2 linked regions of the Elephas maximus indicus genome follow. The protein of the gene in region 1 interacts with the protein of each later gene in a pairwise test. Links are inferred from orthologs where the notes say so. Each region holds a gene or a part of one and is shown on either strand. Other genes may lie near its edges.

Region 1 (3,600 bases):
TCTGTAAATGCAAGGACTCCCTTCCTCCATCTCTCCTGAGCCTCAGACCCACCACCCATCGCCTGCCAGGCACCTCCCTCAGATGAAGGTGCCCAAAACTCAATTTCTCCTCTTCCCGCCATATTTGGTCCTCCTCACTCCCCCTAAAGAGCCCTGGTGGTGCAAAGGTTAAGCACTTGGCTGCTAACTACAAGGTCAGCGTTTCAAACCCACCCAGCAGCTCCGTAGGAGAAAGACATGAAGATATGCTTCTGTAAAAATTACAGCTTAGAAAATCCTATGGGGCAGCTCTACTCTGTTACATGGAGCACTATGAGTTGAAATTGACTTGATGGCTCCTAGTAACAGCAAATAAACAACAACTGCTCCCCCTTTCCTCTCATGGGAAGCTCATACTGAGCCAGGATCCCTCGTCACACATCTCCTCACCCTGACAGACACTGTCCTCACCTCCCTGTGGGTCTGCTCTGCACAGCTCTGGGTTCTATCCCTCCTCTCCTTCCCCAGGCTGGGCTGGGGCCTCCTTCTACACCTACAACTCCCGGTCATCCCCTGCCAAGACACACAGCTCTCCCAATTGTCATCCATGTGAGGTCATCTCCCCAGTGGGTCTCCCAGAAGGTTGGGGCACTTATTGTCTCTGTATTTTCCCTGCCCCCACAATGGAGCAGGCCGGGGAGGGCACATGGGACCCTCCCAGGAGTCTTGCTGCAGAAAATGGGGAAGGGCCTTCCTGGCAGAAGGCACAGCCAAAGCAAAGGCAAGAACGTGAGACAGCACCTTCTTTTCCCAGGGCAGATGGAGAGGTGGCCGGGCTGCCCCTCACGAACAGCTGACCAGGGTCTTACCTGCCTCTATGACTTTGAGGTCAAACTTGACCTTGGAGGAGCCAGCGATGACTGCATAGGACCCCTGGTCGGCGGGGCCTGCGTCCTGCACTGTCAGCGTGTGTCGCCTGCCCTCGGCTGCCAGGCTGTACTTGTCGCTGGTGCTGATGTCACTGCCTCCCCGCTGCCAGCGCACCTTCACTCCTGGCCGCTCTGTCTCTGCCTCGAATATGGCAGAGCTGCCCGCGGCCACCTCCGCTGACCGTGGCTTCTTGCTGAAGGCTGAAACTGAGGGGCCAGACCAAGGCTACAGGGCCCCCCAGGCTCACCCGTGCACCTGCCCCTGCAGCCCCTCTTGTCAACATTGTGACAAGTACTTCAAGCATTGCCTCATTTAATGCTCCAGCAGCTCTACTAAGTAGATTCAGTTATGTCCATTTTGCAGATGCAGACACTGGGGCTCAGAAAGGCTAAGTGACTTGCCCAAGATCACACAGCCAGTAGGTGGGAGAGCTGCATGTGTCCCCTGGATACCCCGCCTTCCCTGCTTGGGGCCACTGGGCATAAGCCTGGCCTCCCCCGCCACACTAATATGGGGCCCTTGGCAGGGGGCAGGTATTCTGTCTACTTGGAATGTGGCTAAATTTATCCTTCAAGGGCCTCAGGCTCAGAATCAGCAACTGAGATAAAGCTAGCCTGAGAAGTGGCTGGGGGTGGGGTCAGGATTCAGCCCTGGGCGACCTTGGTGAGGCACAGGCCAGGACCAGGACCCTGGGCTGTGACTTTCTCTGCCCTTGGCCTGGGCTCTGGGGCCTCTTGACCATCCTATCCCAGAGCAGAGGGGCTGCAGTGCCCTCAACGTGGGGGCCATGCCTGGTATGGGGCACACAGGGGTGCAGATCGTGAAGCAGGCAATCTCAGAGCTGGTAGGATTCTTAGGGACACTGGGTCCAAGCCCTCCTTGTACAGATGGGGAAACTGAGACCCAGAGAGGGTAGAGACTTATCCAAGGGCATTCGATGAGCCTGGCTCAAGTCTGGACTAAACTTGGGCTCTGCCTGCAGCGGTCTTTTCCCAAAAGGCAAGCCCAGGCCCAACTTTGCTGCAGAAGGAGGAGGGCAGGGGCAGGAAGGGGTCTTTCTGGGTCCTGGGAGTGGGATGATAGCCCTGGGGTTTCCTGCCTCAATTCTGTCATCTCTCTGTGTTCCCGACCCTGGGTTTACCCCTTATTCTCAGCAGAGGGATGAGGAAAGAGAACCTGAGCATCAAAAAGGGACCCAGGAGGATCCTCCCCTCTGTCCTGGGGCTCAGAGGCCTCGTCCTCACCGACCCCTCAGGAACTAGCTCCTTCGTCTGCTCCCCAAGTGTGGCGCCCCCCACCAAGCACTCCCTACCCCTACACTAAAGCCCTTTTGACCCCAAACCTGGAGTTACCTGTTTTTTTCCCGGGCTCTGGCATCTTGAGAGAAGTCACACCAGGCACCAAGCAGGTACAGTCTGAAGGACTGAGCAGGGATCAGCCCCCCGCGCTATATAAGGGTCCCTCCCCCTCACCAGACCCTCCTTATCTGCCTCCTGCCCAGCCACTGGCTAAATATAGACAAATTCCAGGGAGCTGAGGTCTCTCTATGGGGAAAAGGTGAGGGCCACATTGTTCCTGGCTGGTCCCTGTTCCTTTCCCCCTACCCCAATGCAACCTCAGAGGTACCCCAAACCCTGTCTGTGTGTCTGTCTAACAGGTAAACTGTGCGGTGGAAGAGTGCAGGGCCTTATTCTTGAGCACAATGGTTCAAATGCATCCTTTGCCAGGCATCTTCCTGGGCAGTGAGGGGCAGTAAGGGACCATGAAGGGCCATGAGGGGCAGTGAGGAGCTGTGAAGGGCCGTGAGAGACAGTGAGGGGCCATGAGGGGTAGTAAGGGGCCATGCAGGGTCATGAGGGGCAGCAAGGGGCCGTGTGGGGCCATGAGGGGCCATGTGTGGCCATGAGGGGCTGTGAGGGGCAGTAAGGGGCCGCACAGGGTCATGAGAGGAAGCGAGGGGCTGTGCAGGGTGGTGTGGGGCAGTGAGGGGCCATGAGGGACAATGCAGGAGCTGTTGGGGGACCGTGAGAGGCCATAGTCACGTACACAGACCCTGAGGCAGCGGGGCTGCCCCTGAGTCCTGGCTCTGCCATTCACTGAACTTTGCAGAGCCTCAGTTTCCTCATCTGTCAAGAAGGGCTAGTGAGAACACCACCCACAGCATAGGGTTGTTACACGTGTTTACAAATAGGAATGCTTAGAGCCATGCCTGGTATATAAAAAAAAAAAAAAAATTTTTTTTTTTTTTTTTTTATATAAGGAATGCTAAATGAATGTTTCTGTTATTATTTGGCCCATATTATCACACCTCACGGGGCCTGGGTGGCTTCAGGCTGTAGAACCTTGGGTTGGCCTATTCCACAGCCAGGTGCGGAGGGGGCAACATTGGGGGCTGGTGTTACCCAAGGGAAGGGTTGGGTGAGCCTGCAGTGAGGGCATCAGAGTGAATATCTAAATCCACCACACAGAGGAGAGGTAGCTCTTGCAAAAGTCCCAGGGATTAATGCCAGATGTCTTGAATTCCCTTGTGCTCCTCCACTGTTCCTCTGTGACCTTTTGCCCTCATGATAGTACCTCCCCCAGTTTGTCACCTCAAGGACATCAGTTGCTACACAGAAAGAAGCAAATCCCATGTGACCCACTCCCAGCCAGGCCCAGTAACGGTCAACATCATTGGTCCCGCAGGGAGGA
Region 2 (3,818 bases), on another chromosome or scaffold:
GGGGTGTCCAGGATGGCCTCTCACACCAGCCCTACCACCCACCTTGCCACGCTCGGTCTCGGCAGTGATTTTGCCACCCTCACGAGACACAATCGTGGCTTTGACAAACTCCTCTTTGTCATCAGGCACATAAACGTCCTTCTTGAGGTCAAAAGGCCTGGTTTGGTCTGCGAGCCGCTCCTTCTCTGACTTGCGCAGGAAGGGGGCGGCAGCCCCAAATACGGCCATCTCCGCATCCACCATGGCTAGACCTGCAGTGTACGAGAGAAGAAGACAGATGCCCTGCTATTTGTCTGCTCTCCTCTTCCGTTCCCTGGACTCTCCCCTTCAGTGCAAGCCCCACAACCTAGCACAATGCTCAGGAGTCAGGAGGGGTCACTGGCGAGCCCCTTGTTCTTTGGGCTTGTATTTTAACCAAAAGAATGGCCTAGTAGTCCTGTCAGGGTAGAAGGACAGCTACCTTTTGTTCACATTGGGGCTCTCCTAGGGGAGGGAAGAGTTCCCTGGGTTTCTTATGGGGGTAGGAATCTGACTATATTCTCTCTTTGACCTTCATCTTTCCCTGACTCCCCCTCCCTAGTCACAGGTAAGGAGCTCCTAGTAGTCAAGACATTCTCCCCTCAAGGCACAACAACTGGTCTCTATTCACCTGGAGATACAGAGGAAGGAGAGTCAGGAATAGGAGGAGGATATGGAATGTGTGGCTAATTGTCTCCATGAACTGCCTCCTTTGCCATGAGACCATAAGAACTGGATGGTGCCCAGCTACCATTATGGAACATTTTGATTAAAGATTCCGTAGAAGAATACTGATCAAAGGGGGAAAATGCAGAACAGAATTTCAAGTTCTCATGGACTCCAGACTCCCCGGAGCCATGGAGGGTAGATAAACCCCTGAAACTATTGCCCTGAGATAATCTTTAAACCTTAAAACCAGAATACCCCCTGAAGTCTTCTTAAAACCAAACAATAATTTAGCTTAACTAGTAAAAAAGAAAAGGTCTGCCTTGAGCATTATGCTCTTTTAAGAACTATCTATATGGGATCAAATTGACAACAGCAATTTGAAAGATTAGACAGGAAGCTTAGGGGGAAGTGAGTTTATGTTAATGGGGGAGGAACAACTCAGGAAAGGAGGGTAAGAATGGTTGCACAACTTGAAGAATGTAATCAGTGTCACTAAACCCTACACACAGAAACTGCCGAATTGGTGTATGCTTTGTTGTGCATATTCCCAACAACAATAAAGTAAATACAATTAAAAAAAGGAATACGTAAAGAGTTCTGGCAAATCAACAACAATAAAAAGACATTCTCCCTAAGGCAGGGCCAAAACTAAAATTCCATAACCTGGCTTTGAGGCTTTCATGCCAATCTCCCCAGATTCTCCCATCCCCATCTTCAGCAATTCTTACCTTGGCTTCTCAGATATGTTTAGAGATGAAGAAAGGGGCCCAGACCTGCAGGGACCTGGAGAAAAGGAAGGCAGTGTCAGTAGGCTACAGCCCGACCTTGCCAATGCCATCTCTCTGCGTCTCCTTGGCTCTGGCCTTCAGCACCCACTCCTTCCCCTCAGTCCTGAAAACAGACTGAGATTGGTGGTCAGCTTCTCTGGTCCCATCTGCTTTCTGAACACTATTCCCCAAGTACTAGTTCTAACAGTTTCCTGGTGTCAACTCAACTCTGAGCCCTAACTCTCTTTATTCGTGGGAGACAGCCCCACCCTTGCCTATACCCATTTAGTAATACTTTGAGCCACCTGAGAAGCAGCTAATGGCCATATTTGTTCACTGCTTTATTGTCTACAAAGCACTGTCATGCACATTCTCTTACTGAACCATCAGCCCATTCTACATATGAGGAAATCAAGGTTAAGTGAGTTGCGTGTCCAAGAACTCTTAGCAATAAGTGGTATAGCAAGGACTTGAGTCTAAGTCTCATAACTCCAAAGCCAGCTCTTTTCTATCATGTCTCCAGTTTATTGTCAGACAATGTTGACATTCTCAGAGAGGAGACACTGTGGGCATCATCTCACAGACACATCCATCACACAGTCAAATACTCTTCACATGTCCTCTCGTGAATGCACATGTCACTACTCACCCACACATCCCACACAAAGATACACTTACTTCCTGATACCTCTGCACACACAAGTCCCAACCAGCTTGCCATATTGGCCTCAAAAACAGATGTGCACATTTAAATATGAGTACATAGACTCACATTGCTGTATATTCTCGAGTATACGAAGACTTGGGACATGCATACTGCTGTGTGTGTGAGCTGCTTCTGCAGGATGTGCACACCCTGCAACAGCCACCACCCCTAGATGCACACACAAACACCTCCACATGCCTGGACATGGGTATTTATATATTCCAGACCTCCACAGAACTAGCATTTAACATACATGCTTCCTGTATGATCTTTCTTGGACATCCTCTTCCTCCTCCCCCCAAGTGAACCTGCTTATCCTCAGACATGATCATAAACACACATCTCCCACTTGATATTTCTGTATCTTAGGCAGACAGCTCCAGTGCTTACAGGTACGTACCCTTCATCACATTCAGAACATTTATGCATACACACACACACACACACACACACACACACAGACACACCATACCTCTAACACATTAACACATCCTGGTCCCTTATGCTCCAATACAAACATCTTCCACTGTAACACGCGAGCCCCCACATTCCTGTGGCACATATATGTGTGTGTAGACCTGAACATGTATGCTCAATGACCAGGTACTCTGCGTGAAGCCCTAGGAGCTGATCCCATCTTTGCTACACATTGCTTGCTGTTCCTAGAAGATCCTCTTCCTAAACCTGGAGCCACCTTATCCCAGAAGAAGGCCTCCAACTCCCCGCTCCTACCTGAGAGCAGCAAGGAGAGAGAGACACACAGAGAATAGGAGAGAAGGCTGTGGGGCCAGACTAGGTCTCAGGGCCTGTATATATGGGGCAGCAGGGCGCCTCCACCCCCACCTGCACCCAGTGCCTAGCCAGATTTAGAAAGGGCTGTTGTCACTAGAAGCATTTCCCCCAGGCTCCCCCCCTTTCCCAAACAGTGCTCCCCCCTCCCCCCCCAAGCTAGGAAACAATTGGAAGTGGTCGTCATTGTTATGGCATGGAGTGTGCAGGGTCTGAGTTCCAGGGGGCGGGGTGGCTCAAAGTGCAACAAAAATATCTCCTAGGCCAGGCCTCACATTCCACAGCTGGCAGGAGAGGGAACTGACCAGGACCACCATGAACTCAGGGCAGGCACGGACCTGGCCCTTCAGTAGGGCTATCCTGGCCCCTGATGCTGCTGCCCCTCAGGTTCCCCCCGCCCCCCAGTGCTGGCTTGGCCTCACTTCCACGGTGTCCTCCCTGCTTCCCTAGTCTGGTTCCTGCACCCACCGTGAGATAGGAGGGGGCTAGCTGTCAGCAACAGAGAAGGTAGGGCAGGGTTGGGGGCATGGCCCCAGGGTGGGGGGCTAGGCTGGGGCAGCTGGAAGGAGACTTCCCAGCTGAGAGGCCAGAACAACAATCAGGGAGCTTAGAAATGTGGACTCTGGCTCCAGTACCAATTTCCTTGGATCAGCAGGGTAATGTGTTGAGGTCACCGAGTCTCCGAGCCAGACAAGCAGGGTACTCGTATGCTTACTTGCGTTTACTTACTAACTTTTAGTGAACAATTTCACACGGGTTTCACCACTGAAACCCATATGAATTTGTTCACTACATATTAGTAGGCAGACACAAGTAAGCCCGTGCACATCTTGCTCACTGTAAGCCTGTGCGAACCTTGCTTAGTGGTT

The links.
Region 2: the proteins of MYBPC3 (region 1) and myosin-7 interact in a two-hybrid assay, tested with the Homo sapiens proteins (2 studies listed by IntAct). The link is inferred for Elephas maximus indicus from reciprocal best matches to the Homo sapiens genes MYBPC3 and MYH7.

What each region holds. Positions count from the first base shown.
Region 1 is NC_064825.1:102,748,169-102,751,768, forward strand, and holds the start of MYBPC3 (myosin-binding protein C, cardiac-type), read right to left. Parts: upstream 2,305-3,600; 5' UTR 2,287-2,304; coding exon 2,262-2,286; intron 1,116-2,261; coding exon 849-1,115; intron 1-848. UniProt on the Homo sapiens protein: Thick filament-associated protein located in the crossbridge region of vertebrate striated muscle a bands. In vitro it binds MHC, F-actin and native thin filaments, and modifies the activity of actin-activated myosin ATPase.
Region 2 is NC_064828.1:34,792,826-34,796,643, forward strand, and holds the start of myosin-7, read right to left. Parts: upstream 2,934-3,818; 5' UTR 2,893-2,933; intron 1,471-2,892; 5' UTR 1,416-1,470; intron 252-1,415; 5' UTR 244-251; coding exon 43-243; intron 1-42. UniProt on the Homo sapiens protein: Myosins are actin-based motor molecules with ATPase activity essential for muscle contraction. Forms regular bipolar thick filaments that, together with actin thin filaments, constitute the fundamental contractile unit of skeletal and cardiac muscle.